Arabidopsis thaliana: one gene and its partners. The protein of the gene in region 3 interacts with the protein of the main gene of each other region in a pairwise test. Each region holds a gene or a part of one and is shown on either strand. Other genes may lie near its edges. The genes, in order: PTM, HB-1, CHR11 and AT1G18950.

Evidence for each region.
Region 1: the proteins of CHR11 (region 3) and PTM interact in a two-hybrid assay, tested with the Arabidopsis thaliana proteins (one study listed by BioGRID).
Region 2: the proteins of CHR11 (region 3) and HB-1 interact in a two-hybrid assay, tested with the Arabidopsis thaliana proteins (2 studies listed by BioGRID).
Region 4: the proteins of CHR11 (region 3) and AT1G18950 interact in a two-hybrid assay, tested with the Arabidopsis thaliana proteins (one study listed by BioGRID).

What each region holds. Positions count from the first base shown.
Region 1 is NC_003076.8:13,479,566-13,484,294, reverse strand, and holds the start of PTM (PHD type transcription factor with transmembrane domain protein (PTM)), read left to right. Parts: upstream 1-1,703; 5' UTR 1,704-1,850; intron 1,851-1,940; 5' UTR 1,941-2,056; coding exon 2,057-2,853; intron 2,854-3,132; coding exon 3,133-3,816; intron 3,817-4,033; coding exon 4,034-4,729. UniProt on the Arabidopsis thaliana protein: Membrane-bound transcription factor required for the plastid-to-nucleus retrograde signaling. Functions in multiple retrograde pathways.
Region 2 is NC_003070.9:9,977,881-9,982,478, forward strand, and holds the start of HB-1 (homeobox-1), read left to right. Parts: upstream 1-1,597; 5' UTR 1,598-2,055; coding exon 2,056-2,233; intron 2,234-2,314; coding exon 2,315-2,794; intron 2,795-2,910; coding exon 2,911-2,981; intron 2,982-3,294; coding exon 3,295-3,657; intron 3,658-3,749; coding exon 3,750-3,839; intron 3,840-3,953; coding exon 3,954-4,118; intron 4,119-4,244; coding exon 4,245-4,467; intron 4,468-4,598. Other genes in the region: AT1G28410 (myosin heavy chain-like protein), read right to left, coding at 1-90, 241-288, 808-935, 1,062-1,200. UniProt on the Arabidopsis thaliana protein: Transcriptional regulator required for the maintenance of the plant vegetative phase.
Region 3 is NC_003074.8:1,939,434-1,947,005, forward strand, and holds CHR11 (chromatin-remodeling protein 11), read left to right. Parts: upstream 1-1,539; 5' UTR 1,540-1,632; coding exon 1,633-1,830; intron 1,831-2,037; coding exon 2,038-2,169; intron 2,170-2,264; coding exon 2,265-2,371; intron 2,372-2,482; coding exon 2,483-2,595; intron 2,596-2,798; coding exon 2,799-2,896; intron 2,897-2,986; coding exon 2,987-3,166; intron 3,167-3,248; coding exon 3,249-3,470; intron 3,471-3,666; coding exon 3,667-3,801; intron 3,802-3,883; coding exon 3,884-4,166; intron 4,167-4,243; coding exon 4,244-4,317; intron 4,318-4,427; coding exon 4,428-4,648; intron 4,649-4,724; coding exon 4,725-4,812; intron 4,813-4,890; coding exon 4,891-4,984; intron 4,985-5,060; coding exon 5,061-5,255; intron 5,256-5,336; coding exon 5,337-5,371; intron 5,372-5,480; coding exon 5,481-5,557; intron 5,558-5,655; coding exon 5,656-5,745; intron 5,746-5,843; coding exon 5,844-5,913; intron 5,914-6,019; coding exon 6,020-6,074; intron 6,075-6,164; and 12 more. Other genes in the region: AT3G06390 (Uncharacterized protein family (UPF0497)), read right to left, coding at 15-274. UniProt on the Arabidopsis thaliana protein: Possesses intrinsic ATP-dependent nucleosome-remodeling activity. Constitutes the catalytic subunit of several complexes capable of forming ordered nucleosome arrays on chromatin. Involved in the formation of nucleosome distribution patterns.
Region 4 is NC_003070.9:6,544,286-6,552,189, forward strand, and holds AT1G18950 (DDT domain superfamily), read left to right. Parts: upstream 1-1,891; 5' UTR 1,892-2,253; coding exon 2,254-2,694; intron 2,695-2,805; coding exon 2,806-2,916; intron 2,917-3,896; coding exon 3,897-3,983; intron 3,984-4,072; coding exon 4,073-4,110; intron 4,111-4,189; coding exon 4,190-4,271; intron 4,272-4,557; coding exon 4,558-4,664; intron 4,665-4,743; coding exon 4,744-4,900; intron 4,901-5,581; coding exon 5,582-5,674; intron 5,675-5,788; coding exon 5,789-5,909; intron 5,910-6,032; coding exon 6,033-6,075; intron 6,076-6,192; coding exon 6,193-6,396; intron 6,397-6,477; coding exon 6,478-7,264; 3' UTR 7,265-7,823; downstream 7,824-7,904. Other genes in the region: AT1G18940 (Nodulin-like / Major Facilitator Superfamily protein), read left to right, coding at 1-43, 204-1,307. UniProt on the Arabidopsis thaliana protein: Probable transcription regulator.

The DNA of each region.
Region 1 (4,729 bases), on a different chromosome or scaffold from region 3:
ATTGACCGAATTGGCCGGTGGGACTAGTATAAGAGAACTTTCCAACAAATTCAAAGAGTTTTTGATATTGGAACATTTTACTGCATATAGAATTAGAAAGTTTAATTTTGGTCTTTTACACTTCCTTTAAGAACCTTTCTCGTATTCTTTGAGAGTTTGAGCTAAGTGCAAACCAGTCTTGTAATCTTAGAGCTCGGCTATCTGATCTTGTCTCGTCTCCATAATCTTATAATTTTACTATATAATGGCGGACCAAAAACATATTTTTTAGATAAATAGTATATCTAAAAGTTAATTAATATATGAACCATAAAATCATACTATATATATGTTTAGCAAAACTATTTAAATTTTCAAATATTTTAAAATATTGGAGATATTATTTATAATAATTAGATAAATACTTAAACCAATGATGAAAACTCATAAGATTTTTTAAAATAACATGTCCTAAAACTATCTAATAAATTTAAAATTATACTATTTTTCTCGTCTGCAGTATTTTTTGGGTTTAAAAAGTCAGTCGCTATTTTATTAATCTATATTGATTTTTTATTTTTTTGTCATCCAACGTTTTTATTGATATTGAGCCCAACGGGCTATACAAGTGATGAAAAGAGAAGTCCAAACTCCAACATTTACAACCTTGATTACAGTTAAAAACTCTTTAATTTGATTAGATTAAGAAACTAAGATGCCGCATCAACAACACATGTTGATACGCGAGAAGGAGAGAGAGATATAGTCGGTACCGCCCAAGATCCACGATTCGGTGCAAACTCTGCCGCTGGCTTCACAAATCCACCACCGAACTCCTTCTACAAAGTTCGTTGTTGCAAATTCGATTGACTTCCACTATTTCCGTCTCGAAGAAACTGCAAGAAGATATCGTCAATCCTTCATCATCTTAACCATGATTCTAGCAAAAGCTACGCCTAAGACCTAGTTGAGGTCCTCATCATAATAATTAACAAATATATTATTTTAGCTCAAGATTGGAGTTAAGCCAACAGTGGGACGGGAAGATCAACTATGGCAAGCGAAATTCCAAGTGAGATATTGTAGAAATAGAGAGAATTGATCTTAGCAAAGAAGTAAATCGGAATTTTATTAGATTCAGATAACCGAGAGAAAACAAACCAACAAAGCTGAAAAATATTCGATTAGAATGAGAAAAGCAATATTTATAACAATATTCCGGTATTTCGGAAATCGTCCTAAGTTTTTTTTGTTAATCTATACAAATTATTACTACATAATATCAAAACAAATAATTTGGTTTTTTAGATTTAATTTTTTTGAATTCTAACTAAAATAAGATGACAAAAAAATATTTATTACTACATAATAGTCTTAAAATAATATATCTAGTTATATCTACTTAATGATCAATCTCAATGATTTTTGTTTTTCTTATTTAATTTACTGACGTCTTGACAGTTCAACATTATTGTAATAATTAGTATACAGAATTCTGGAAGGTAATTCTTAAATTTCCCGAAAAGAAAACAAAGTTACAAGGCCCAAAGGCCCAAAAAGACACGCAGGCCCAAGCGTTTAAGGCAACATACTGCCATGAAGGCACACATGTCCAACTGAAAATAAAAAACAAGTACAAGGCCCAAACAGGCCAAGACCAGAAAAAGCACGCAGGCTTAAAGGGAAAAGCTGTAGGGAGAAGAACCACAGCCACAGCTGCACGCAGGCTTAAAGGAAAAAGCACTCTCCTTCTTCTTCTTCTTCGTCTTCTCTCTCTTATGTCCTTGTCCAATTCCCAAATCCTTCGTTGTTGAATTTTGTCTTCTTTCTTCCTGAGTTTTCCCTTCTTCTCTTCAAGAAACCTTGATCAGGTGATTTTAAGTCTTCTCCTTTACAGATCTCGATTCGCTGTTGTTCCATGTGAATTGGGTTTTAAACCTTTTGATTATTGATGAATCTAGGGCTTATGGGTTTCGATGAAACAATGAGATTTTGATGAATCTAGGTAGTGGAGAAACTTACTGCTCCCAAAGAGATTTTGGCCATAGAGTATGAAATTCCCCCAAAGGTTGTTTTGATGGAAGCGAAGGTTCCTAGACCTAGGGGAAGACCGAGGAAACGTCAGAGATTAGAGGATGATAATCGAAAATTGAACAATCGAGGGAAAAAGCAAGTTCTGGAGGTTGAGCCTGCAGTGCCGATATCTTTACTTGGTTGTTATATGCTGAAAGATTTTGATGACAATGAAGTTTTTCTAGGGAAGATAGTGTCTTATGATACTGGGTTATATAGAGTGATATATGAGGATGGTGATTGTGAGGAATTGGAGAGTGGTGATCTTCGTCGTTTAATTATTTCGGATAGTTACTTAGACGATGAGTTACGTGTTAGAAGGAAGAAATTAGATAAACTTATACTGAAGAAGGAGGAGAAAAAGAAACGAAATTCGCCGGAGAACAAAGCAGTTGAGTTGCCAAATCAAGTAAATGGAGTGCAGGCACGAGCAGTTACGAACTCCGAAGATGGTGATTCATATAGTGACTCAGAGTCGTCTGAGAGTGGAGATAAGAGAGGTTCAGATCTTGAAATTGAGGCTCCTCTTGTTCCACCAGTGGATTTACCTCCTTCATCAGGGACAATTGGTATCCCAGAGGAGGCTGTGGCACATCTCTTATCTGTATATGGGTTCTTAAGGTCATTTAGTTTTCAGCTTTATATCTGCCCATTTGAACTCAATGATTTTGTGGGAGCGTTGTATTTCTCGGGACCAAATTCTTTGTTGGATGCTGTTCATGTGGCCTTGTTGCGGGCATTGAAGGGTCATCTAGAGAGACTTTCCTCCTCCAAGTCTGTCCTAGCCTCAAAATGCTTGAGGTAAGTGCAGATAAATTTTATTTTGGAAGTTTCTGTTTTGCTTTCCGGATGTTCACAGCATATGTTCTCATTTCTTGAGCCTTTTCTGGTTTCATAGTGTATAAATCATATTACGAACTAGCAGATTTGGTCATTGGGTTAGGTTTCTGAACTACATGAATTCTAGTTAATGCAAAATTTGTCTTCTGCCAGTGAAAATGGTCGAAAGAGCTTATTTTAGGATGCTTTACCTCTTTAGCTGAGAGGACTTCACAGATTTTGTTGCTTTGCTATCTGCAGGTGCATTGATTGGAGCTTGCTCGATGTGCTAACTTGGCCTGTTTATTTGGTTCAGTACTTTACTGCGATGGGGCATGCTAGTGGGCCTCAGTGGAACATTTTTAACAAATTTGTTGTGGAAATAGAATACTACTCGTTACCCATTGGGATGAAATTGAAGATTCTACAAATTCTCTGTGATGACATCTTTGATGTAGCTGATCTAAGAGATGAAATAGATGCTCGCGAAGAATCTGAAATTGGATTTGATCCTGATAGAGTTGCCACAGGTCTTCTTGAAAATGTACCTAGACGGGTCCACCCCAGATTCGCTAAAACCTCAGCTTACAAGGAAAAAGAGGTTACTGATAGCTCAACAAACGAGTCTAAAGATTTGGACTCAAGATGTACTAATGGCGGTTCAAATGAAGTTAGCTCAGATCTAGATGGAAACAGTGATGAATGTAGGATTTGTGGAATGGATGGAACCTTGCTTTGTTGTGATGGATGTCCTTTAGCATACCACTCAAGATGCATTGGTGTGGTCAAAATGTATATACCAGATGGGCCATGGTTTTGTCCAGAGTGCACTATTAACAAAAAGGGGCCGAAGATTGCTCATGGAACCTCACTTAGAGGAGCTGTACAGTTTGGAATGGATCCACATGGGCGACTCTTCTTGGGTACTTGCAATCACTTACTGGTGTATGTTTTCGTTGCCTCCATTCATACATAATTTGTTTTGCATTTGTTGGAATTAGCAACCTGATCTTTCAATCTATTCCCCTGCTACATAGTTTAAGATTCATTACTTCCTAGGCAAATAGTTGCTAACAGGTTTTAGCCAGCATTACTCTGGAACATTTGAATTTGCTTGTTGTGACACTGATGAGCATTCTCCTTCTTTTCTCTTAAATCACAGGCTTAACATATCTGTCAATGGAGATGCAGTTGTCAAGTACTACAATGTTAATGACATATCAAAAGTTGTACTAGTGCTTATATCTGCATCAAGCCATACACTAGAATATGTAGAGATTTGCAAAGCGATCACCCAATACTGGGATCTTCCTGAAGGTATCTCCTTGAGGGAAGGGGAGATTGGTTTAACTCAAGCAAAGGATAGAGAGGATGGCAAGGTTTCAGAGATCACTAAGTCAGATAGTGCAAATATTTCCAATAGAAGTCATACCCAGACTGTGTTTGACCTCCCTACATCTACTTTGGGTAATACCAACAGTGCTGTTACAGGAGGTTCATGTGGAATACAGGGGAAAAAATTGGCTGCTCGTGTTACCTACCTGGGTTTATCGTTTAAACCCAACACATACAATAATCATTACACAAATGGAGAATTGGCTGTATCTGCTGCTGCCAGTTTGGCTGTCCTATCGTCAGAGGAAACCCATGAACCTGACCTTCGCAAGTATAATAGTGCCAAGAAAGCTGCATCAAGTAACATCTTAGAGCAGATGAAAGCTTTTTCATTAGTAGCCCCCCGTTTCTTCTGGCCAAGTCCTGATAAGAAGGAGATTACCAGAGAAAGATGTGGTTGGTGTCATTCTTGCCGACTCACATCTGCAAGCAGGAGAGGATGCATGTTAAATGCAGCTGTAGC
Region 2 (4,598 bases), on a different chromosome or scaffold from region 3:
TTTAAGTTTATTCTTAGCTTCTCTTGCTTTATCCTCTAAAACGTGTAGCTCGAAGTTGGTTGTTCTCAAGGCAGCCCATAGAAGTTTCACCTACCATTGCCAACCCTGTTCTTTAGATTAGTGGAGTTGAAGAATAAGTAGCTCCAGCATTGGCAGAACACAATTTGGGAAATAAACCAATAGAAAAAAACATTTTGAGAACTAGTCTAAAGAATAGAATAGCCACATGACTGAACAGACCTCTTCTTCTAACTCGCTTATCCTCTTTTGAACCAAAGGTAAGCCGCTCTGAGATCAAATAACAAGTGTTAGCAATGCAACTACCATGATAAAGTGATGGCACAATATACATTTCAGATAAGAAACTAGCTCCAAACAGAAGAAACAAAGACCCTACTTCAAGAGCAGCAACATAATCAAACTCAGTACAATCTTCTAAGGGTTTATAAACTGATTCAAATACAACTAGAAGAGGGATAAAACATTACGAGCCGAGTACTTATCATACAACCAGGCAAGTTTTCGTATCACCAATACTTAGACATCCTACAACAAAGGTGTGGCAACTATACAGAAGTGGCAGCTACAACTATAATGATTAAGCTCAATAGGGCATTGAGTTTTCTCAAGTAAACATTATTCAGAAAGGGGGTATCATAGGAGAGCCTCAGACTAGCACATACGATCTAATGAGTGTCCTACCACATTCATTCCCTCATCAGCAGAGGAAATTTTTAAAGCCTTTTAGCTAATTCTACTTAACATAACTAAATGTTCAATACATTCTCCTTAGAGAACCAAACCAACCTTGTCAATGTATGAAGCAGACTGCAAATCAAGGATCTGAGTTTCAGCAACTTGGATCAACTTCTCACGCTCTTTCAAGTAAAGGGTCTTACCATCCAACTTCTGTATTGTCGCCTCAAGAACAGCTTCTACACGATCAGAGCCAATCGATTCCCAGCAAACAAAACAATACAATTAGCAAAAAGAAAAAGAAAAAAGAGAAGCCTTGGTGGTTCAACCCAAAACCACCACGAACAAAAAGAAACAAACTTTACCCAATTGAGATATTCTGAGCTTAGCTGAGTCCAGATCATTGATCAAGTTCTGATTAGAACCGATCTGCTGCTGGACTTGAGAGGAGAAAACGAAGAGTGGTGAAATGATGAAAAACAGAGCAGCCAAATGCAGCCCCATTCTCTGTTCACCGGAGTTCCGACGTTCCCGGCGTCGGAAACTAAGCCAACAGTTTCGTCTCTCCTCTTCTTCTTCAGAGAGATTTCGAGTCAAAGCTTCCTCGTAAAGGTTCTTTCGATTCCTCTGTGATTCATAGGGACGGCGAGTAAACCGGGATTAAAAAATCTGAATTGAAGTATTGAACCGGTTTTAAAAACGACAAGGACTGTACACTTGAAAACAATAAAGGGCAAGATGTTTACTCTCAACACAAGTGGTTCCTCAAAAAAAAAATCTGGGGGATATGATAATCATGCAACCAGCCTGCGGATCTGAAAGACAACAACACGAACACGAGACCAAAAGCACGTTAAAGCCCTTCAAGAGTTGTTGTATTAATTTAGTTTTAAATTAACTTGATTTATATAATAAAAAGAAAAAAAGCTTTGATAAACACATCAACGGCAGAAACACACATAAGCACGCGATTCGCTGTAGAATCCTCAAGTTTCGATTTTTTTTTTCTTTTCATTTACAACAAAAAAAAACAAGATTTTAATTAAGAAGAAAGGCAAAAAAAAAGAAAGGAATATGAAGGAGGTTGAAATTGAGATGAGTGGTACTACTACTACTACTACTAGAAGCCCTGTTGTTGTTTTTCTTCCTTTTTGGTTTTTATCGATTTTACTATTATTATTGTTTGTTCTTCCTCTTCTTCTTATTCTTACTCTTATATATTCTACTTCTTTTTATTTTTATTTTTTTACGTTTTTGGATCAGGGTTTGTTTGTTCAATAGAAAGCCCTAGTTTTTGTTTTTGTGTTCTTTGATTCTTCTTGCGGCCGTTTCTGGGTTTCTTCTTCTTCTTCTCTTTCCATGGAGATGGGTTCTGACGGTGAAGATCAGAAGATCAGGAGCGTCGTTGGTGATGCTAATCTTAATAATAAGAAGAAGAAGATTGATAATAATTCCTCCTCTAAGGATGGTCGTGTCAAGCCTAAACGTCAGATGAAAACTCCGTTTCAGCTTGAAACCTTGGAGAAAGTTTATTCAGGTTCTTATTCATCTCAATTAATTTGATTCAATCTTCGTTCTCTTTGTTTTTTTAAGTATTGATGTTGAATTTTTGATTCAGAGGAGAAGTATCCGTCGGAGGCGACGAGGGCTGAGTTATCTGAGAAATTGGATTTGTCAGATCGACAATTACAGATGTGGTTTTGTCATAGACGGTTAAAGGACAAGAAGGATGGTCAGTCTAATAAACCGGTGAAATCATCGGTTGCTGCGGTTCAATCGGCTTCGGTTAACGAGTTACCGGCTGCTGCTGGATCGGTACCTGAGCAAGATTCCAGATCTGATTCGGGTTCTGAGTCTGGTTGCAGTCCTTATTCCAACTCTAGGAGGAATTTTGCTAGTGGTAGTAGTAGTTCTCGAGCTGAATTGGATGAATATGAGACAATGGGAAAGCCGAGTTATGAGTCGCGGTTGTCGACAATGGTGCATAGAGCTATTGTCTGTATTGAGGCTCAGTTAGGTGAGCCATTGAGAGATGATGGACCTATTCTTGGCATGGAGTTTGATCCTTTGCCTCCTGGTGCGTTTGGAACACCTATAGGTATACATTACTTTCTATGTTTGCCCTGTTTTATGACTTGTGTAACCAATGTCAGTGTTAGTATTACACTTCTTGTGATAAGTAACTCTCTAACTTTGTTTTCATTGGCATTTCAGCGATGCAGAAACACCTACTTCATCCCTATGAGAGCGATCTGTATGAGCGACATGATCCCCGACCTCGAAGAGTTAGTTTTCTGACTAAACAGATATGCTCTATTTAGTTTCTTTATAATGCACCTAGATATCTCAAATTGACTAGTTGAAGAGGTTACCATAAACTGATGGTCTATGAATTATATGGTAGGAGTAATTTTTAGAGTTCTCATTACATGAAGGCTGACATTAGTCTTATGGCAGTTTTTAGTCTCTGATCATTGTTAGAAAGATGAATTCCGCTCTGCTGTTTCTATTCTCTTTCTTGTCCATTCATGTATTCACAGTTTTATAATATTTTCTTTTTACTACTTTGCTTAACATATTTGCTTTTGTTGATTATAGTCTCATGCTGCTGCCCGTTCTTTCCATGAGCAACAATCTCTGGATGATCCGTCTTCTTTTACACCTAATATGTATGAACGATACTCTGAAAATCATGCACGTGGTATGGACTATGAAGTTGCACGTTCTAGAATTTCATCATTTATGCACGCGAATGGACCTGTACCAAGGTCCTATGTTACCCCTGGACATGCGTCTCGTAACTGTTCGACATCTCAACAAGACATGCCAAGCCCCATTGAATCAGCGCATCATGGTGATAGATTCCTGCTGGAGAAGGACTCATCAGTCCTTGGTACAGAAGATCCATATTTGTTACCTGATGGAGTGCGTAAGAGTAGTGATGTGCATAGAAAGGGAAAGGTAGCTTCATTGTACCAACTTTTATTTCATCCGTTTTTGTTGACAAGATGTGTCTTTGTTGTAATGTCATTTTTCTATGTTTACTCTCACAGATTAACGATGGTAGACTTGGAAGAGGGAGTGAAACCCGAGAGAATCATGGACCAAAAGATCTTGAGAAGCTAGAAATTCAGAGGAAAAAGGTATTTGCTCTACATTTATTATCCTCCTTACTGATTATTTGGAAAGGTGTCTTATTGTCTTTTGTTAGTATCACTGTAACAGATATATTGATGAGTTGATGCTTGTGTCCTCAGAATGAAGAACGCATGAGAAAAGAGATGGAAAGGAACGAGCGTGAGAGGCGTAAGGAAGAAGAGAGGTTGATGCGTGAAAGAATAAAAGAAGAGGAAAGGTTACAGCGTGAGCAGCGTCGTGAAGTAGAAAGAAGAGAAAAATTCTTACAGAGAGAAAATGAAAGGGTAAGTTTGGAAAACTCTGCCCAGTTGTTATTCTTTGGTATTTTTTTGTTAATCCTGCTGAGATTGAGCAACTTTTGTGGCAAGAGTTCAGAGAGTGAAAATTATCTTTTTGTTGACATGTTAAAGGCTGAGAAAAAGAAGCAAAAAGACGAGATTCGTCGAGAGAAAGACGCTATTAGACGCAAGCTTGCCATTGAGAAGGCAACTGCACGTAGAATTGCCAAGGAGTCTATGGATCTTATTGAAGATGAGCAGCTAGAACTAATGGAATTGGCTGCTATTAGCAAAGGATTACCCTCAGTATTACAGCTTGATCACGACACATTGCAGAATCTTGAGGTGTATAGAGGTATGGTCTCTCAGATTTAGTTAGTAGTGGATTTGGTAATCACGGCCTAACGGTCTACTTAGTTTTTAGGCTTTACAATCAATAATTTTTGGTAATTTATTTTAGTGTTTTTCCTCTCTGAAATTTTAAGC
Region 3 (7,572 bases):
TTAAAGAGACAAACATGAAAGCGGGCGAGTCATTGAACTCGGCGGAGACAGGAGCCGGAGACGAAACTCCAGGGAGCTGAGTCATCTCTGTCTGGTCGCTAGTCACCATTACTATAAGAGCAGTCAGAGTGGCGGAGAAAAGCAGAACTCTTGTTATAATGTCTATTTTACGACAATCTAGGAAACTGGCGGCTGATGAGGGTGGTGGTGTAGCCGACGCGGGAATCGGTTCAGATTTGCCAGTTTCAGGGTCAGGGTTCTCAGTAGACGCCATCAGATGATTCTATAACTCTTTTGTGGATTAGGTTGTGGTTAAGTTTGGACTGTGAGTTATGAAGTTGGCCGCTACATGAGATTATTTGTGAGTATATATATATAGATAGTCCCGGTGATGAGTTGTAGTTATTACCCACACGCCAAGAAACAAATTTATATTTATTTACACTATTCACTAATGTATATATACAGGAACATGAATATCAATTCATTTAATTTCTAGCTTGCATTTTTCATTGTTTAAAATTTCGAAATAGTTTTTGGAAAATTCACTAGATGTTGTAGTTTTATTTCAACGTTAACATATAATGTTTGTTACAACAAATTTTGCATGCATATCTATTTTTGATTAATAGAAAAATTAATATATTTCTATAGGTATAAGTTATGGATAATGTAGATATATACAATGGGAATGTGTTAGGCCAACCCCGGGAAGGTTGGTGAGGAAATTGGGCGACGGTAATCAAAAACAAAATACAAAAAAGGAGAGTAAAGAACAGTAGGAGTGGTTAACCAATCATCTGCATGAAAAAGGTAATTTTATACATGCTCTTAGGTATCACTTTGCTTTCTGCTTGTGGCTGCAAATCATGTAAATGGATATCTTATTTTATGTAAAAACATTAAACTGCAAGAAACAAATGTCCCAGTAGCATGACCACTTCAGCACTTCTCAAACATATTATAATGTTTTAACATGGATAAAGCTATTTCAGATACTAATCCAGTCGAAATAGAGTAGTTTTGTCTTAGCAAAATCACCAAACTTTATCTCTTGATACCAATACAGAGTGACTGCACAAGTCTGAGAACAACACAAAAAAAGTCAGACCTAACAGTAATAATATATATGAACTCATCATGATTTTTATTTCATATCTTAATAATACCTAACTGGTTTTAGTAAATCCAAATATATAAAATTAGAGATAGCTTTAACAAATTGGGGGCGATGATCAATCACAAAGATTAAAAATAGTGTAACTGGAGAATCTTTCTCGAGCAGCTCCAGCATAGTAATAAGTTGGGGAAAATATCGGGCTTGAAAGTGGGTCTTATGGGTCAGTCAGGCCCAACTATGATTAAACAAAGCCCAAATCGCGAATGTTCCAAAACAACTCTCTTGCTCAGGTGGCGGGTAATTAATTACTAATTCCCCGTTCGATGAAGCGACTAGTTACATCGTAGCCATATATTTATTCAGCTTAATCAACGGTTACAAATTACCCTGAAGCTTCGGTCGTTTTGCAATTTGTATCTAAAGTTTCACTTTTTTTTTAAAATCTTTATTTTACTTTCTCACAAGCGAAGCGAACCCTCGATCTCAAGGCGAAAGCAGATTTCGTAGCTTCCATGGCGAGAAATTCGAATTCCGATGAGGCTTTCTCGTCAGAGGAGGAAGAAGAGCGGGTTAAGGATAATGAAGAAGAAGATGAGGAGGAGCTCGAGGCTGTTGCTCGTTCTTCTGGCTCCGACGATGACGAAGTAGCCGCCGCCGACGAATCACCAGTCTCCGACGGAGAGGCTGCTCCCGTAGAAGATGATTACGAGGTAGCTGCAGGCTAATTTCGTTTTGATGGCTGTGATTTTTGAAATCTCAGTGAACTGCATCTTTTTTGTACTTGGAAAGTTGAAATTTCATTTAATGCAATGGATTCGGCGTTCGCGTCTTCCTTCGTTTGTTAGTTTTAGTCGAATTTTTGTTGAGTGAAAGTTCATTGAATGTCTGCGCATGGTGGCTCATTGTGGTATAAGCAGGACGAAGAAGATGAGGAAAAAGCTGAAATCAGCAAACGTGAGAAAGCCAGACTTAAAGAGATGCAGAAGTTGAAGAAGCAGAAGATTCAAGAGATGCTGGAGTCGCAGAATGCTTCCATTGACGCGGATATGGTGCGTTGTTTGAACTATATATTTCAGGTTTTTAGCTACTTTTCGTTCTCGTGCTTTTAAGTTCTGACGATTCTGAATCATTCCATGTGTTTTAGAACAATAAGGGAAAAGGGAGACTGAAGTATCTTCTGCAGCAAACTGAGTTATTTGCCCACTTTGCTAAAAGTGATGGATCTTCTTCTCAGAAGAAGGCAAAAGGAAGGTGTGTTAGATGCAATTTTTTCCTAAAATATCGGTTCATCATTGCTTCTAGCTTCAGAGTAAATATGATGAGCCAGGCCCTGATTTATGTGGTTTTAACTTCTACCTTCAGGGGACGTCATGCTTCCAAAATAACTGAAGAGGAGGAAGACGAAGAGTATCTAAAGGAAGAAGAGGATGGCTTAACTGGATCTGGAAACACACGGTTACTCACACAGCCCTCTTGTAAGTACCTGTATTTTGCTCTTTAGTCTAGGATTACTGTATATTAATCGTCTCTCTAGTCTCGAGCAACAAGTACAATATGATTGACATCTCCGTCCATTTGCGTAACCATACATATTTTTGTGACCTCACAGTTAGTATGTAGTATAGCGTAAATTACTGGGAAAGCTTGAGATTCATCTATTTTTCTTCTCAATCGACAGGTATTCAAGGGAAGATGAGAGATTACCAATTAGCTGGTTTGAACTGGCTCATTCGTCTTTATGAGAATGGCATAAATGGAATTCTTGCTGATGAAATGGTAAATAATTCTCCCCCAACGATCCAAGCAGAATAAGTTCTCTATATTCTGTCATGCTAATCATGAAACTTTTTTTTCCCTGTGGTCTAGGGTCTGGGGAAGACGCTTCAAACGATTTCTTTGTTGGCATATCTTCATGAATACAGGGGAATCAATGGTCCCCATATGGTGGTTGCTCCAAAATCAACACTTGGTAATTGGATGAACGAAATTCGCCGGTTTTGTCCTGTCCTACGTGCTGTGAAGTTCCTTGGTAATCCTGAGGAGAGGGTAAGTCATGAGCTGTCTGCCATTTCAGAATTTCATGTAAACGTTTATCCCAGGATTCTGAAATGTCTGCTAACTGATGCAGAGACATATTCGAGAAGACCTGCTAGTTGCTGGGAAATTTGATATTTGTGTCACAAGCTTTGAGATGGCCATCAAAGAGAAGACAGCACTTCGTCGGTTTAGCTGGCGTTATATTATCATTGATGAAGCGCATCGAATCAAGAACGAGAATTCACTCCTTTCTAAAACCATGAGACTTTTTAGCACCAATTATCGGCTTCTTATCACGGGGACCCCCCTTCAGGTGTTTGCTCTATCTTATTCTTGAATATTTGGACATTGAAGTTTTCTTTGTTAAGTTGCTTCTAATTGAATGTTGAAACAACCTTTCTTGTACGGCTCTGTTTGCACTCTTAACTTTTGCTTTTCCGGGCACTTTTAATATTTACCGTATAATGACTGTGTAGCCTGCTGTACTCATATTGTCCTCATATATGCAGAATAATCTCCATGAACTGTGGGCTCTTCTAAATTTTCTTCTGCCTGAGATTTTTAGTTCAGCAGAGACTTTTGATGAATGGTTTCAAATTTCTGGTGAGAATGACCAGCAAGAAGTTGTGCAACAACTGCACAAGGTATGGATGCACCCATTCCTTGCATTGAGTTTATTCTGTTCTGTGTGAGTCGTAGGTTAATTGCTTTCATGTATCTTTTTAGGTTCTTCGACCATTTCTTCTTCGAAGACTAAAGTCAGATGTTGAGAAAGGTTTGCCACCGAAGAAGGAGACCATACTTAAAGTTGGTATGTCTCAGATGCAAAAGCAATACTACAAGGCTTTACTGCAGAAGGATCTTGAAGCGGTTAATGCTGGTGGAGAACGCAAACGTCTGCTAAACATTGCAATGCAACTGCGTAAATGCTGCAATCACCCCTATCTCTTCCAGGGTGCAGAACCTGGTCCCCCATATACCACAGGAGATCACCTTATAACAAATGCTGGTAAGGCTAGAAATAAACTAGATCCTTCAGATTTCTGTGGAAGTTTTTTATGAAGCATCTCTATATTGTTATTTTAGGTAAGATGGTTCTCTTGGATAAATTGCTTCCTAAGTTGAAAGAACGTGATTCAAGGGTGCTGATATTTTCTCAGGTAAACGCTAATACAGAACAGCTGGATATAATGGTTTCTTACAGTTCATCTTCTCTTTTTCCTTTGTCTATGTAAAGTCTGAGCCTTATTCTTTTCTTTCCACATGTCAGATGACAAGACTTTTGGATATTCTTGAGGACTATTTAATGTATCGTGGTTACTTGTATTGCCGTATTGATGGAAACACTGGTGGTGACGAACGAGATGCCTCCATAGAAGCCTACAACAAGCCAGGAAGTGAGAAATTTGTTTTCTTGTTATCTACTAGAGCTGGAGGGCTTGGTATCAATCTTGCTACTGCAGATGTTGTGATCCTTTACGATAGTGATTGGTAAGTCTCTCATCATTGTCCACTGTAGTTTATGAACTTTCTCTTCACGTTTGACGAGTCTGGCATATTCTGGCAGGAACCCACAAGTCGACTTGCAAGCTCAGGATCGTGCCCATAGGATTGGTCAAAAAAAAGAAGTTCAAGTGTTTCGATTCTGCACTGAGGTTGGTCTCCTCTCCGTGAATTTCAAGTTAAAACAGCCATGAGAGGTTTAAAATTAATTATGTGTTGTTTGTTTACAGTCTGCTATTGAGGAGAAAGTGATTGAAAGAGCTTACAAGAAGTTAGCACTTGATGCTCTGGTTATTCAACAAGGGAGATTGGCAGAACAGAAAAGTAAGTGCGTTATACAGTGATTGCTTTATGCATTGGTTCATCTCTGACAGAATTGGTATTTATCTTAACTATGCAGCTGTCAATAAGGATGAGTTGCTTCAAATGGTAAGATATGGTGCTGAGATGGTGTTCAGTTCTAAAGATAGCACAATCACAGACGAGGATATTGATAGAATCATTGCCAAAGGAGAAGAGGCAACAGCTGAACTTGATGCTAAGATGAAGAAATTCACAGAAGATGCTATACAGTTTAAAATGGATGACAGTAAGGGTGTCACTTACCTACTATTTCCCCTATTAGGTTGTGTGAATATTGTAATGTTTTGATAATCTGTTGTTTTATTTGTTGTAGGTGCTGACTTCTATGATTTTGATGATGACAATAAGGTAACTTGTATATTTCTTTGCATAGTCTTAACTTTCATGTCATATCCCTAGCTTTGCTCTGCATTACTGATGATAAAATTTACTAATATATTTGTAAATTTGTTCATAGGATGAAAACAAGCTCGATTTTAAAAAGATTGTAAGCGACAATTGGAATGATCCCCCCAAGCGGGAGAGAAAGCGCAAGTAATGATTACTTCTGTCTTATACATTGTGCAGTCCTATTTTGCCAGTCTTCATATCTAAAAGAAACATCCCTTTTGTTTTATCTACTGTATCTTCAGCTACTCTGAATCTGAGTACTTTAAGCAAACATTGCGGCAAGGTGCTCCAGCTAAACCTAAAGAGCCTAGAATTCCGCGCATGCCCCAGTTGTGAGTACCTCAACAACCTCCATCTCATTGTTGAATGCCTTTTCCCTGTTTTGATGATTTTCTTACACTAGAAATCTAATTTATTGTCCCTCTTTCAGGCACGATTTCCAGTTCTTTAACATTCAGAGATTGACCGAGTTGTATGAAAAGGAAGTACGTTATCTCATGGTAGGCCTCTCTCAAAACGAAACACTTGATTCCTTTGATGTGCTTAAGAGCGAGTTTTTTTGCCTTATAAAAGCAACTTGCTTCTTTTTGTGCTTTTTGGTTTCAGCAAACACATCAGAAAAATCAGTTGAAAGACACAATTGATGTTGAAGAACCAGAAGGTCAAGCTTGTACCCACTTTGTTAACATGTACCCACTTTGTTAACATGTTTTTCAGCAAACCTATTACTGATTAAGAATTTTTTTGTTAGAAGGTGGGGATCCCTTAACTACTGAAGAAGTAGAAGAAAAGGAGGGATTATTGGAGGAGGCAAGTGAATATGTTTGATGTTAGAGTGGTCTTAGACATTTGATTTGGTAGGCTTTAATTAATTTTTTGTAATTGTCAATCTCCAGGGTTTCTCAACATGGAGCAGAAGAGATTTTAATACTTTCCTCAGGGCTTGTGAGAAGTATGGCCGCAACGACATAAAAAGCATTGCCTCTGAGATGGAAGGGAAAACAGAGGAAGAAGTTGAAAGATATGCCAAAGTATTTAAAGAGCGGTACAAGGAGCTGAACGGTAAGTAACACCTTTCAATGCTAAGTTATGCAGTGTTTTTACATGTTTCTAAGTAATTCCTACCTCCAAAAAGAGCTTATGCTAAGTAAGTTTATCATCTTTCCCTCTAAATATGTAGACTATGATAGAATCATTAAGAACATTGAGAGGGGAGAGGCAAGGATCTCTAGGAAAGACGAAATCATGAAGGCCATAGGGAAGAAACTGGATCGCTACAGAAACCCTTGGCTGGAACTGAAGATTCAATATGGTCAGAACAAAGGCAAGCTGTACAATGAAGAGTGTGACCGTTTCATGGTATGTCTTTTTCTCGTTTCCCTTTTTGCTGTTCTGTCTCATTAATTATATCATGAAGTTTTTGACTGTTGAGGAACTTTGGTGGTGAAAAACAGATCTGCATGATTCACAAACTTGGTTATGGGAATTGGGATGAGCTAAAGGCAGCATTTAGGACATCGTCTGTGTTCAGGTTTGACTGGTTTGTGAAATCCCGCACGAGTCAGGAACTTGCAAGAAGATGCGACACTCTGATTCGACTGATCGAGAAAGAGAACCAGGAGTTTGATGAAAGAGAGAGGCAAGCCCGCAAAGAGAAGAAGCTCGCGAAGGTAAAATAATGCAATATTTTCATGTATAAGGTTGTATTCTTTTGATTTGATTTCTTTAGGTGGTTAATGCTTTTCTGGTTTTTAATCTTTGAAGAGTGCAACACCATCAAAGCGACCTTTAGGAAGACAAGCAAGTGAGAGTCCTTCATCGACGAAGAAGCGGAAGCACCTGTCGATGAGATGAGATTATGTGTTTACGGATCTGTCGAGTCTTTGTTGTTACATATAGTTAAGCTAATGTTAAAAACATAGCAAATGGATTTCATTCTGCTTTCATGAATGTTTGTCCTGGTTTGACTTGGATTTAATGAAATGACTTAATTATAATTTTGTAGACTTCTCTTCCGTAAAGAAACTGAACAAAAGGATTTGAGGCCATTGGATGGCAACTTAGGCTGAAGCTTAAGCAAAAGTTATGAGTTTCTGAGGGATATATGAACAGACGATTTTTTCCACAATTTATTACTTCTTTGTTCAACGGTTGCATTT
Region 4 (7,904 bases), on a different chromosome or scaffold from region 3:
GAATTTTGCTGACTATGGTGGCACTGCTGTTGGCATTATGAAGGTAATAAAAGACTCAAGCTTTATGAAATTTTATTTGCTTAGTGTTGATATCTTGTTACTGCTACTTCTCTGGGACCTTAAGACTGATTCTGATAAATCAGATAAATCCTCTGTTTTGGGTTCTGTTTTGCAAATTATGTCTTCGCTTTCGTTCTTTGCAGGGTTTTGTTGGACTAAGCGGAGCAATGTTAATTCAGCTGTATGAAGTCGTATGTCCTGGAGATCCAAAGACTTTTATTCTTCTACTTGCAATTGTACCTTCACTTCTCTCTGTTTTGGTGATGCCTCTAGTCAGGGTATACAAGACAAGCACAGTGGATGAGAAGAAACATTTGGATGGTTTATCAACTTTGTCACTTATCATTGCAGCTTACCTTATGATTACTATTATTCTGAAGAGCACTTTAAGTTTACCATCATGGGCCAATGCTGTCACACTTGCAGTTCTACTTGTTCTGCTTTCATCGCCTCTACTAGTTGCGGTAAGAGCACACCGGGACAGTATCGAGAAACCGTTGTCATCTGTTTATTCTCCTTTGGTAGATAATCTGGAAGCAACAACCTCTGGAGAGATTTTGATGCTAGATGAAGACAAAAGCTTGAATCTTTTACAAGCTATGTGTAATGTAGACTTTTGGTTGTTGTTTCTTGCAATGATATGTGGAATGGGATCCGGGATTTCGACGATAAATAACATCAGACAAATAGGTGAGTCTCTTCGATACACTAGCGTTGAGATAAACTCATTGTTGGCTTTATGGAATATATGGAACTTTATTGGTCGGTTTGGAGGTGGTTATGTCTCGGATTGGTTGCTGCACAGAAAAGGATGGCCACGTCCGTTGCTAATGGCTACAACTCTTGGAACTATGACCATAGGTCATCTAATCATAGCCTCTGGTTTTCAAGGAAATCTTTACCCCGGTTCGATTATCGTAGGCATTTGTTATGGCTCACAATGGTCGTTAATGCCAACAATTACATCAGAACTATTTGGAGTTAAGCACATGGGAACAATCTACAACACCATTTCAATTGCTAGTCCTATGGGTTCATATATCTTCTCTGTAAGATTGATTGGATATATCTATGATCGCACCATTATCGGAGAAGGTAACACGTGTTACGGTCCTCATTGTTTCCGATTGGCATATGTGGTAATTGCATCTGTGGCTTTCCTCGGATTTCTTGTCTCATGTGTGTTGGTTTTTCGGACAAAGACGATATATCGACAGATCTTTGAGAAGATATTGCATCGTCGATAAAGAGTTGTGACTTGTGAATATCATGTACACAATGTTGTACAGTGCCATTTGTGTTTTGTATTTACATGCGATTGTTCAAATTTATTATTGATTGAAAAATCTAAACTGTGTAATAAAATACAACTACATAACATATACTTGTAAGAAGAGGTTCTTTGTTTTTTGGAGAAGTTTATTTGTAATTTAGTCCATGGAATATAGTTGTGTGACATAAATGAAGTAATTAATGTAAGAACCAAAGTTAGATTTTTTTACCTCCTTGGTCTGATTGAGAAGTATTAATGATGAGGTTTGCTATTTAGAGATACTTTACTTGAGATGGTTCCTTTTAATGGGTTACTTCAATAGTCATGTTGATACACTACATCTAGTTATGTTTCTCAAATCAATATTTTCATAAAATTATCTTTGTAATATTTTTAAAATGCTGTAGTAATTTTTTTAAAAAATCTAACACTATTATAAAAAACCAATAAAGTGCTTTTACTAGTTCTATAAAAATTAATAAAGTTTTTTTTGTTGGGTTAATAAAAAAAAGAAGAAGAAAAAAAAACACAAAAAATCTCTCTCGAGCCCTAATAAAACTGTGAGCCCCTCTATTTTCTCAGACCCTCGTGTTTCACTCTCGCTTAACGAGTCGTTTCCTTTCCTCTGATCAATTCTCTCAGAGAGACCTATTTGACATTTATTTACCATCTCAATCTTCTTTTTCCTCAGATTTTCTTCTTCATCTCTCTCACACAAACCCCAAAAACGACAGCGTTTTCAAAACCCAAACACCAGTCGACGCTTTTGGACCTTCCTTTCTTCCTCCTTGTCTCTCTCTGATTAACCGATTTCGATTTCCCCACAATGCCAAAAGGGTTTTGATTCTCTCTTCCTAAAAATCTCAAATTTACACCCAGAAAAAAACCCTAATTTCGATCTTTAATCTCTACGCTCTCTAATGGGTTCCTCCTCCGATATCGTCCCTGACCGATCTCCAGCTGACGATGTAGCTCCGGTTACAGATACCAAAATTCCAAAGGAGGAGCCTTTGACGCTTAGGAGAACGCGTCCTTCTCGGGCTTGTACTGTTAGGGCTCAGCAGCGGCTTCAAGAGCTTCAAGCGGCGGAGAGAAAGCTTAAGCCGCCTAAGAAGGAGTATAAACGAGAGCAGCATCGACGGAGAGAAGAGGTGGTGGAGGAAGATGAGGATTCGGAGGATGACGATCAAGAGGATGAAGAGAACGACGGAGATGATGAGAGTAATCCGAAGCAATGCGTTGCTGGAGGAAGTTCTACTAAAATCATTACTTCTCTTGTTCCGCCACCGGAACCTTCACAGATGCCGCGGTGGAATCTTCGTTCTATGTGGGAACTTGCTTCTGTGCTCAATTTCTTGCATGTGAGCTCTCTGTTAACTTCAATTGTGTTTCGTCTTCTGGTTCTTAGCTGCCAATGAGTAACTAACTCTCAAAGTTCGTTTTTTTGTTTCTTTTTCTGGATGGTGATGAAGGTATTTAGACCGCTTTTGAAAATCAATGCGGAGTTTTCAGCGGAGGAGTTTGAAACGGCTTTGCTTACTCCAAACGATACTTTAAGTGATATTCACATTCCTCTGCTAAAGGTTGGTGCTTTGGTCATCCATTGTTGTGTTTATTCCTACTCATTTAGTGTACTTCTCGTCTCTTATTGATTGTTTCCTAATTCTTGTTGGTTTCCTTTGGTTTCTGTTTGTATTAACTTCAATGTACTACTAGAGGTTGTCTCATTGACATGAAAATAACATGTTTAGGTGCTCTAGACCTGAGTGTTGGCTCTTATTAGTACTACAACTAGTGATAAGACATTTTTTGGCGTACTGAATGGTTCTAGAATAGAAAATTGCCGTTTTGAGTGAGAAGATTCTGTTAAAGTTTAGATATTATATAGAATCCTGGGTGCTGTACCCAGTGAGAAATAGAAGGGGACCTGGTAATGTGTTAGTATCCTATATGTTAACTGCAATTTGCTTGCAAAGTGATGTCACCTCTACTTCATATAAATTTGCTTCTCTTTGAATCCTGGGTGCATCTTCTTCTGCACTTCAAATTAAATATTCCAAGGGGTATGACTAATTTTTTTGGTAAGCCCCTTTGTAATGCGACTTGGGTAGACTACAACCAACTTGTTCAACGATATCTTGAGCTTACTAAGTCTTTCTCAGTTCGGATGAAAGGGACTCTTAGTTTCAAATCATTTTGGCTGAGCGGCTGGTTGACCAAGATATAGCATCTATGTTTTTGGCTAGCTTTCCTCGTAGGCACCTTATAGGCTTGTACTGCCCAGTATAGATCACTAGTTTTTCTGGAACATCTTCATGAGTTCTTTTAGAGTTCCCTGATTAAAGTCCTTGATCATTGTCATGATATCATGATTTTTGTTGTTGTTTGTGCGTATTTATAATTGCCATTTTTCTCTAAAGTGCTGCAGTTACTTTTGGTTTATGTTGATACTAATCAATCATGATTTGGAATCAAATATATTCTTCACTACTATGAGATGTTCAAATTGCTTAATAATTTCTCTCTGTGAGCAATATTCAATTTTCTTCCTTTCAAATTGCAGGCCATTCCGCCTGTAACTCGAATGGCTCTCACCCGTGATACCTGGGTAACTGTCCTGTGCAGAAAAATAAGAGATTGCTGGCATTGGGTAATGATTGCTTAACTTCGTTGTCCTGATAAATCAAGTACTTTTTGCATTATATCATCTTCTGACATGATCTTCACCTACTCATTTAGGTTGCAGAAGGGGACCTTCCTATTGTTGCCTTGCAAGGGTTAGTTGTCATAATTTTCCTGAATATCATGGTAACGGATTAGTGATCCATTTATGAGCTTCTCTTCTTAACCTTGTAGGCGGGAGATTGAAGTTTACAAAAATCTTGATCCAGCCATCCGTGTGGTGATTTTAAAAGCGTTATGTGATATTCGTGTTGAGGTATTGTTGCTACTGTATGACGATCTATTATCCAAATCTTGATACCATCTGTATTGTTTTATCCTCTAAAACTTTTTGTTATTTGTGAAACGCACTAGAGTTGAAACTGAATTTTCATTATGTTGTATATCTGTATTGATGTATATAGGGTACCATGTATATATGTTTACAGTTTATGATGTCCATTATTAAGCTCTGGAGCTTTCTGATGCGATGCTAATGACTGACTTGAAACAAAGTGGTTTTAACACTTATAGTTTTGATTGGTTTTGTGTATTTCTTACAGCAAGAGGATATCAGGAGCTACATTGACAACTCTCTTAAAACTGGCGTTCACCTGTCAGTTTTTCGCAAAGATCGTGTTGGGGGTGATTCACATGGAGTTAATTTTTGGTATGGAGCAAAGAAAAAAGACCTAAAGGACTCCTTTGTTTGCATATATCTGATATTACCTGTTTGTTTCTTATGTAAGGTATGAGGAAGATCCCTTAATTGGTCACCGTTTATATCGGGAAATAAGGAAAGCAGAGGTGTTGAAGGTCAAAACAAAGGGTTCCAAGATTCTTCCTAACATAACATACCAATGGGAAACTGTTGCCACTAATTTCGATGAATTCCAAGATGTTTCTGTAAGTCTCTTTACAATCAATGATTTTGAATTACCAGATAAATTGCTTAGGATACTTCTATATGCTGTCTGTTTAGTGAGTCTGTAATTAATTCTTGCTATGGAATATGGTTAGATAGCATGCAGGCTAGTGTTAACCATGCACTCGAATATTAATCTTCTTTAATGGATTATACTCTATAGGTTGAGAAAAATATATGTGGAGAATCAGTTATTTTCAGAGAATTTTTACTCAAAGAATGGTGCATACGATTGCTTGTAAATTATCCTTGATATCTTTAGTTATTGTGAGTGAATCATATTAAAATGTTAGCACTGCTAAGAACTGGCTTAAAAGGGCTCATATGCAATAGTTGGATGTTAATGGGTTAGAGTATGTTGTTTGTGTTAGTGAGTCCAGTGTCTTTTTCTCGAGAGATGTCCTTTCTTGTTGCAGTTGATCATAGGGTTTAACAAGGTGAACACAAACAATTTTATACTGTGGATCTGTTTCAATGCTTTAGTACCTCCTTTTGCGGTTTCCCGAGGGAGATCCTATATACTATTCTGTCGAAACTTATGTTTCGGACTGAACTTCTTTACTTTTAACTGTCAATTTCTGTGAAGGACTAAACTAAACAATAGGTATAACTTTCCATGTCTTTACTACTGATTTGAGATGCTCTGTCTCTTTGTTTTTCAGGAAAAACTTCTTCAGAGTAGTAGTAGAATTGAAGTTTCTCTAGGGAAGAAGTTAGTAAAAGATATGCTTCCTGAGATAGAAAAAGAACACAAGGTTCCAATCTGCTCTATACTTTTCTATTTTTTTTTTGTTTTTTTTTTCTGTTTTTCATGGCTGAAAATTCTCTTCAACTGCATATTTTCATAATGGAATTTTTTCCACTGTCAGAGGAAAGAAAAATTGTTGAAAAAGCAACACAGACAGGCTCTTCTCCTTGATAACTTTGTGGTTGTTGATGGTCTTGCTGGGCGATCTCTCCGTGATAGGAAGCCAGTTAGATACACTTTTGGTAATGTTATGACCTTGTTGGAAATTCATGCCCGTGGTTCTTCCTTTTTGGCATTTTTTCCTATTTAAATCCATCTAAATCTCTACTGGACTGAAGTATTACTAATTTCAAAAGTTATTGCAGATGATTATGATAAGTCCATAAATGATGCTATCAAGATAACAAAGTACGTCTGAGTCTCCCTTGCATTGAATCATCTCTGTTGGTTTTCTCTAACATTGTTATTGGATGACTATCTTCTATTGTCTCTTACATTCTGTTTGTTTTCGTGATACTATCTCAGGAAGAAACATCCATCACCAGAACATCCTCTCCACAGAAGAGAATCTGCCAGGTTGGACGCTCTTGCGAATGGCAGATCGACCAGTTCAACCCACCCTACTGAGCCTGTGAACGATACAGCATCTGGGAGATCTTCTGATTTTGCTGATTATGATGATTTCGATGAGCATAGAGATGAATCTTTGGACAGAAGGCAAGATACAGTGTATTTTTCTTCTCTCCTTAAATCTCCCCTCTGGAACTATGCAAACCTTTAGCTTAATTAACAAGTATAATGTTGTGGCAGTAACAGGCGCAGACAACGACCTCAACGATATTCAGCTACGGACTTTGTTGAAACTGTTTCAGACAATGAGGTAGAATTTCAAAGTGACGATGACATTTATGGGGAAGCAGTTTATGATGAAGAATATCTGAAGAAGCGTAAACAGAAAAAGCTCTCTAGCGGTTCTGAGGGAGATGAAGAAAAGGGAGATGAAGAATACAAATGGGATGAAGACAATGCTGAGTATGAGGAAGAAGAAGAAGAGGAAGAAGAAGAAGATTCCCTAAGTGCAAGCGAAGAGGATAGTGATGAACCCCGGAGGGCTAAGAAAATGCCACGGAGAGAAACTAAGTTAAGATCAAGATCAAATGATTTTCGGCCAGGCCTGAGACGAAGTAAAAGAGCCACGCGAATTGATTACCAACAATATGAGTTCTCAGACTCGGACAAAGAAGCAACAGGACTGGCAAAACGTAAGCGGTTTGTTGAGCCGGACGAACCTTCTGATGAAACAGGGAATGGGGATTTCACAATGGGAAGTCAGGACTCTGAAGAAAATGCAAACGACCCAGAAACAAAATCTGGTGAAGAAGAAGAGCCGAGAGATGTCAATGACAATGCAGATACAACAAATGGAAAAGAGAATAACCAACTTAACAAATCAAACGGCACAACAGACCAAGAAGAAGTTGAGGGTGTAGTAGGCAAAAGGCGTTACCTCGACTTAAACGAGCTGGCCCCGGTATCTGGTTTTGATGATGGCCCAAGTACAGTATTGAAGGATGATGATAAGACAGACAATTCATAAGCAAGAAAGAGAGTTTGCCTTCATAAAGCTCCCTCTGGTCGATCACCATTGTATGATAAGCAAGATTTTCACGAGTTATTTCTGGCAACATCCCCTTGCAGAGAAAAGTTGAAACGGTAAGAGACACTCCATTGGCTTTTTCTTCATTCAAGCATATCTGCCTTCTTGTTGTTTTAAAGTAATTCAGGCAAATTCGGCTGATAAGTGAAGAGGAGAATGTTATGGAGGCCGAAGAGGTATGTGTAGATTAGGTTAGTCATTTTTTCTTACCATGAAGAAAGAAACAATGAAGAGGGTGAACCAGATATTCCTAAGAGCTGTTTAATGTTTTATGGAATTATTATTAGTGTACAAGTAACTTTCTCTAACTTTTTTGTATTTTGATCATAAGAACAAGTTCAAGGTCTCTTAGATTTTGGTTAAACGACGCAGCTTTGAGACTGCTGAATGTGATTATGGTACCATGGAGCAAATCTTTCTAATGGCTGTGAAACAAACTATTGTTGCTTTATCCCAGGTCATATTGTGAGCTTCAAAGCTCATGAAACTACATACCTTCAAATTAATAACTTGGATTTTAGATATATATAGGCTATATATATATGTACATAAATGGTTATTAATTTGATCAAAACTACAA